Mus musculus: one gene and its partner. The protein of the gene in region 1 interacts with the protein of each later gene in a pairwise test. Links are inferred from orthologs where the notes say so. Each region holds a gene or a part of one and is shown on either strand. Other genes may lie near its edges.

Evidence for each region.
Region 2: the proteins of Tpm3 (region 1) and Lca5l interact in binary tests that used the Homo sapiens proteins (3 or more experiments, as listed by UniProt). The two-hybrid records come from large-scale screens. The link is inferred for Mus musculus from reciprocal best matches to the Homo sapiens genes TPM3 and LCA5L.

Annotation. Positions count from the first base shown.
Region 1 is NC_000069.6:90,071,795-90,075,521, forward strand, and holds the start of Tpm3 (tropomyosin alpha-3 chain), read left to right. Parts: upstream 1-856; 5' UTR 857-939; coding exon 940-1,056; intron 1,057-1,925; coding exon 1,926-2,051; intron 2,052-3,727. UniProt on the Homo sapiens protein: Binds to actin filaments in muscle and non-muscle cells. Plays a central role, in association with the troponin complex, in the calcium dependent regulation of vertebrate striated muscle contraction.
Region 2 is NC_000082.6:96,189,885-96,193,634, forward strand, and holds the start of Lca5l (lebercilin-like protein), read right to left. Parts: upstream 2,374-3,750; 5' UTR 2,304-2,373; intron 1-2,303.

The DNA of each region.
Region 1 (3,727 bases):
CCTGTCAATAGCAAGATTCCAAGTGGAATTATGAGCATAGCTGGCACTACACTGGGGGAAGTAGAGCTGGTGGACACTATAATGGCATGGTGGACAGCGGGCTGGGGAGGGGGCCACAGAGGGAGCAGTTGAAGAGGAGTAGAGGAAAGCGACAGTCTTCAGTATGTCAGACCTTCTATTTTAAGGTCGCTATGAGAAAACGTGATCCTGTTCTGTGACCTCCTTGTTTCTCATCCCACTTGACACCCTGAGATACCCTTTCAGATCCCAGGCCTTCAACTTTATCCTATGGCCTTTACAGACTAATGTCTCCTTGCCTATTAGAGAATCCCAAAATAGCCCAGCAATCCCAACTGTCAATCTGGGGGAATTGTCAACGATCATGAGTGACCTCCCATCGTCACTGTTGACCACGCTCCTTAGATACCAGGAATCCAAAGACCAAACCAGTAGAGTTTGGTCCATATCCAATATAGTCCAAGGGGAGAATGAGAGATCTGAAGGCTACTAGGACCCCTCTGGTGGCGAGAACTGCTAAAGTACCCTTCTGTGCTTCAGTGTTCCCCCCTCTTCTGTTCCTCTACTTTTGAGGGACCCACAGAGCTGCCAAGAACGAGTGGAAAGTTTCAAGGTCAGGGAGAACCTCCCCCACCCCCACTTTCCATTGTCTAAAATCAGCCTCAGCTGTTCCTCAATTTTTTTTTTCTTGCTGGTGATGTCAGTCTATCAATGTGTCTGACCCTGTGTTCCCCCAGGGGAACAGTGAAGGGATGGGAGGGAGCTAGAAAGACCATGTTAGGAAGAAGAGGTGGAGCCGCAAGCACAGATAAAGGTTCAAACCTGGGGAACTTTGAGTGACCCGGGTGGCAGCCCTTCCTCTCTGGCCCCAGCCTCCAGTTCTCCAGTGTTCACAGGTGAGCCCACCAACGGTCACAGCTCATGATGGAGGCCATCAAGAAAAAGATGCAGATGCTGAAGTTAGACAAAGAGAATGTTCTGGACCGAGCTGAGCAAGCTGAAGCTGAGCAGAAACAGGCAGAAGAAAGAAGCAAGCAGGTAGGTGCTGGTATGGACCTTTCCCACTTGCTGGTTGCAAGACAGAGATGGTCCAGGCAATGGTGGCACACACCCCTGTAATCCCAGCACTCAGGAGGCTGAGTTTCAAGGCAGCCAGAGGGGCAGGGGGTTCATGGGAGAGGCAGTGACCACTGGGCCAGCTTCTTTTTTGGGTGGGAGGAATGCCCCAGTCTCAATGAAGCCCCTCCCCCTGAACATCTAGGGCAGCAGTTCTCAACCTGAGAGTTGAGACCCCTTTGGGTCATTAACCCTTTCACAGGGGTTGCCTAAGACCATCAGAAAACACAGATACTTACATTATGATTTAAACAGTAGCAAAATTAACAGTTATGAAATAGCAATGAAAATAATTTTATGCGTGGGGGTCTCCACCACATGAGGAACTGTATGAAAAGGTCTCAGCACTAGAAAGGCTGAGCACCATTGCTTTAGGGTAGCCCCTTTGCACTGTCATGTGACCTTGAGAAAGCCGGTGGCCTCTTCCTAGCCACAGTGTGCCTGCAGGACTTAAGTAGAAGTAGACCACATTTTGAAGAATGTCTTACTTCTAAAGCAAAGGGTAAGGAATGATCCAACTCTCTCTGTCTCTCTGTCTCTCTCTGTAACATCACAGAAATAAGCTTCCCCACTAGATGTTTATCATTCAACAGTCTTGCATTAAAGCACCAGATGACTTGGTCACCTTGGGGCCAGACATTATAGGGTCTGAGGTGAAGCCATAGCCTGATGCCTGGAGCATGGCTGAAGAAGTGTGTCTCTCCTGGGGCTGGGCTCAGTGCTCTTTGGAGTCCAAGTATACACTGTTGTGTTTATGTCTTTGTGTGTTACTCTCTGGGCTCTGGCTCCAGCTAGAGGATGAACTAGCAACCATGCAGAAGAAGCTGAAAGGGACAGAGGATGAGCTGGACAAGTATTCGGAAGCTTTAAAGGATGCTCAGGAGAAGCTGGAGCTAGCAGAGAAGAAGGCAGCCGACGTGAGTATTGGGGGATGGCTTATTTGCCTTCTTACCCATAGACTGTGGGGACATATGCCAACATAATACTCTTGCACATGACAATGCGCTGGCATGCTCTTCTGTTGGGGTATACTTTCTTACTCAAAGACATGTTGAGATTGAGGGCATAGTTCAGTGGCAGCATGCTTTCCTAACGTGCATGGATCCCTGGGTTCTACACTAGCACACATGCACGAGAGAGAGAGAGAGAGAGAGAGAGAGAGAGAGAGAGAGATCTCATTTCTGCACTATTCAACCTCCTTCGCAGTAATCTAATGACCTTTTCCAGAACCTGGACAAAGGAGGGGCCTCCACATCCAGATGCATGCTCTCAGGTATCCACTCCCCCACCCCCCCATGCCACATTCTTAGCTTTTGTGTACAAGGTTTGGCATGTGCATGTGTGTATTAATAGGGAGCCTCTCATCTCTCAGTTACCCAAGAAAGCCAGCTTAGATTTCACAATAGAAAATGGAGGTCACACTGACCTTGGCCCTATATGGGTTTATTTGTCCTAGCCAAGGTGGACATCTGCCTTTATGCCATAGAGATGCTACAGAGAACTCTGATCATAGGAGAGCAGTGACGTATCAAGGGTGAACTATAACAGAAACTGGGAAGCAGGCTAAGGCAGTACCCCTAGATCTTACTCTACAGCCCTGAATAAATTACATAGTTCTTAAGAGCCTTTTCCCCTCTTAAAACGAAAATGAATTGCCTCTGCCCACCTCCTACTACAGTTTGGTACCCACTTTCCTTCATTTCCAACACTGACGTTTGCTGCAAAGAGAAACACAAGACTATATAGGACATCTGCTTTGAAGAAAAGTACCACAGGATGGTTTATTTTTTATTTGGGGTGCTGGGGATTAAATTCAGCCCTCCAACCAGCTACATTTACCTAGCCCATAGGGGTTTTAACAAAAACAACAAAAGGATATGTCAGTTACACAGGCATATCATACACAGTTCTCAGCATCCAGGTGAGGAGAAAACTAGAAGCTGATGTTATTTTAAATCATGTTTGGTTTTGGAAAACAGCTTAAAGGACAGAGTGGATCACTCCCGACGGACGCATTTAGATGCTCACGTTCAGTCTTTGCTGGGAGGCATCTGCTCTTCTCTTTCTTTCTTTTTTTTTTTTTTTCTAATATATTTTCTAGATGTATTTATTTGCTGGGCAGTGGTGGCGCACGCCTTTAATCCTAGCACTTGGTAGGCAGAAGCAGGCGGATTTCTGAGTTTGAGGCTAGCCTGGTCTACAGAGTGAGTTCCAGGACAGCCAGGGCTACACAGAGAAACACTGTTTCAAAAAAAAACAACAAAAAAAAAACCAAAAAACAGCCGGGCGTGGTGGCGCACACCTTTAATCCCAGCACTTGGGAGGCAGAGGCAGGCAGATTTCTGAGTTCGAGGCCAGCCTGGTCTACAAAGTGAGCTCCAGGACAGCCAGGGCTATACAGAGAAACCCTGTCTTGAAAACAAACAAACAAACAAACAAACAAAACAAAAAACAAAAAAAAAACCAAAACCAAAACAAAACAAAACAAGATTAATTTACTATATATAACTATTTATTATTACTAATATTTAGATATAAGTACACTGTAGCTGTTTTCAGATAGAAGAGGGTATAATATCTCATTATGGGTGAT
Region 2 (3,750 bases), on another chromosome or scaffold:
AAAGTATCTTACATGAAAACACAAGATTTGGAGAGGCACAGAGCCCAGGCTGGTGAAGGAGACAGTGGACAAAACTGATGGTATTTAAACAAAAACTTCTGTATAACAAACAAGAGTGTAAGTGGCATGCTACAGACAGGGAGATTTATAAAGAGTTCTTAGAGCCCTTTAGTAAGTAAGGCAGAGGGCAGAGCATCTGCTGGAAAAAGCACACAGCCAGTAAAGTTCTTCCCTTGGTTCATGCACACTGCACTGTACAGGTGAGGGGCCAAGAGCCCAGGATTTCAAAGAAAGCAGTCTAATACTTACCAAAGTTTTGATTCAAAAGTTTGATCCCTCTAAATCCTGACAAAGGGAAATTAAGTATTAACACTGATGGCTGGGCATTCCACGCCTGCAATCTCAGCACTCTGAAGGCAGAGGCAGGCAGATCTCTGAATTTGAGGCTAGTCTGCTCTACAGAGTGATTTCTAGGACAGCCAGGGCTACGCAGTGAAACACTGTTTAGAGAGGAAAAGAATTAACATGGATTGAGAGGCAGAAGAAAAATAAAAGTGAGACTTTGGCAAGGTATCTGGATTTACACTCCAGCTTTGTCAATATAATCAGCTATTTGGCCTCAGCTGCCTAAAACAAGAAATTAGATGATTTCTCAACGAGTTCTAAAGCCCAACTCTAAAATTTACAAGCGAGCTAGGCATAGTGAAGAACACCTTTAATCCCAGCACTCTGGAAGTGGATGTGGGTGTGTGGGGGTGGGGGTGTCTCCAGGCTTGGGGCCAGCCTTGTCTACACAGAAAATTTCAGACCAGTCAGAATTATATATTGAGATGCTGTCTCAAAAATGATTAAAAAAAAAAAGCACCAGTGAAACACACATTTTTCTTTTCTGAGTTAGTTGGTCAGACAGACAGGCAGACACACACACAGACATACACAGACAGACAGACAGACAGACAGACACACACACACACACACACACACACGCACACACACGCCTTTAAGAGTTGCAACATGAAAGAGTCAAGCCCAACCTTTGGATGGTTAGTTACTTTTGTGGGTTTTGATCATTTATCAATTTCATACATTACTTAGTTTCCAGTCTCTGGATATTGCAAAGTCTTGCCTTGGGGGCTGGGGCAAGTTGTGCCTGTTTGCTTTCTTTCTGCCTCTACTAAGTGACTGTAAAGCATTAGACTGTAATTCAGAGGAAGTTGACAGGTCATCATCTCTAGCTCCCCTGACTATTTTTTCCAGTGTTTATTTCTTACTAAAGTTTTCATAAAGGCGTGCGCCACCACTGCCCGGCCATAAAATCTTATTAGTAAAAACCGACCATGCTCAAGTAGAGAAAGGATATTATCAGGGAAATGCAAGGCATTTCTGGAATAATCCAGGCACTGACTGCCATTTGGGAGAAATGGTACCGTTGAATCTATTCTGGGTGTATTTTGTAAGGATGTGCTGGTAAAGTCAAACTAGATACAAAAGTGCGGATGAGTGGAAGAAGAATGAAGTTTTCAGCAACTGGATGGATTATGTATGCATCTTAGAGGAGCCTGGCTGCGGGGTTATCAGACACCTTGGACAAGCTGGCATGGAAAACGCCTTAGGCATCTGGTAGACAGGGTCAGGCTGCTGAGTTCACCGTATGGTGTTCGGAGAAGGGCCGGGGCTGATATACACATTATGGGCTCAGCGGCATTTACGTGGGCATTGAGCCTTTGGAACGGGATGACTCCATCTATGTGATTTGTGCAGACAGAAAACAAGTCCGGTGTCACACTCCGCCAAAAAAGGCTGGCCCGAAACGAGTTAACTGTTGTCAAGAAAACAACAAAATCTTAAAGCACTCATAGTGAGGTGGGTTGACAAAGAGCCCCACAGCCGAGCTGTGGGTGGAAAACAAGTGAAGCGTTTCAGAAGGATGCAGACGCCCCGCGGGGCGTGCCAGGGTTGGAAGGAAAAGCACCAGCCGGGTAGCGAATGCTTCGGGGTTCCGAAGCACCGAGGCTTGGGACCCGTTCTCGCTCTCTGCACTTTGGAGGTGGAGGGGGACACTGATCAGCGATCCCACCGGCGGCGCATCCTCCCGGATGGGTGTGCGCTGCTCCCGGGCAGGGAGGCGCCGGGGGGCTACGTTACCAGCTCCGCCGAGGCAAGGCCAGGTCGGAGGATAGAGCGGACGGAGAGAACCCGCGGCGCCGGGCCTCGGAAGGGGCCTGTCCAGCGGCTCCGGGGAGGCGGACGCGGGCTGATGAGACCACCACTGCTGGGGGCGGCGGCGGCGCCAAGGCCGTTACCTGCTCCGCGCTGCTCCCGCAGCTGCCTCCACCCTGGACTTAAGGAAGCGCGGGCGTCGCCATGGAAACCACGCGGGGCCTCCTGGGATGGCTAGTTCGGGTGTGCGCACGCGTAGTACTTGGCACTGTGGAAAAGCCGGCGGAATGGCAGGGTTCGGGGCGGGGCACCAGTTGCGCGCATGCGTACTTGGGCCAAGGGCGCCTGGGAGGTCTAGATCGCAGAGAAGCTGGAACCCAGGCGGCTGAAGGAATTTATAGCTGACCCTGCTTTTTGCCGCAGTGCCAGGAAGGGAGAGGACTGGGGACAGAGTGTCCCTGTTAACTTGGTTTTATACATGGTGGTGCTTCTTGCAAAAACTAAATGCGAGCACAAAAACTGTGTTTGGTGTACAGTATTTCCAAGCCAACAACAGGCTAAGACACTCAGGTGGTAGAATTATAGCTGTTATTTTTGAGTTTGATTGTTAAAACTGGCATTTTTAATTGTAAATTCTTTGTTGCTAAGAAGGGTAAGAAGCTATAATAGCTTTATTAGTGTCATGCAAAACAAACAAACAAACAAACAAACAAACCTCCCAAAACCAGGGCTCTCACAGGAAGAGTTTATCCTGGAACTAAATATGAATGACCGTGGCCTGGAACACAGATTTATCTTACCTCAAATATCATGTTCCAACGTGGTAAACGTTTTGTAAAGTTTTAATAGTCGCAGAACAAATAAGTCACAAATCAAGCTACTTGTAAAGTATGTAAGCTGTGCCGTCAGATACCAAGCGGGTTACAGCAAAACAGGAAAATCTACAGGCCCCAAGTGCTTCAGGTGGGTGGAAGTGAGGGTCTGTCGGTGCTTGCAAAAGAATTTACCTGACGGTCCTGTAAATGTTATATCAATCACGGGCCCATACAGTGGCCAGTCCATTAAGGAGACTAAAGATAGGCCAAGGTAATTTGGCTTCAAACCTGTCACTTTCCATTTAGCCACAATTATGTAATCTACTAAGCTAATCAGATTTTAGGATCTCTAACACCGGTGTGGCTTTCTTCTGTGGGATTTCAGTTTCCTGGGTCCATTTCTCTTATTTTGTAATTTCTCTTCCCCGCTTACCTTTTGTTTTGGCAGCACTAGAGGTGGAACCCAGTACCTTAGGATTTTGATTTTTAATTTCCACCACATGGTCCATGCTGGCTTCTAATTTAAGGGGTTAAGTGATCCGCTTACCCCAGCCTCTCACGTGGCTTGGTCTACCAGGGTGAGCCTGGCCTTTTAGCTCACTTTTAAACTTGGTATAAATCTTTGTAAAACTTGATTTGGAAGAACTTTTGATGTATCAAAACCCTGTGATATATGTTATAAATAGTTCCTTCAGGTTGCTGAATACTTTTCTATATTTTTTACAGTCAGTGTCTCACTCCATACATAGACCAAGCTAGCCTTGAACTCATAGAA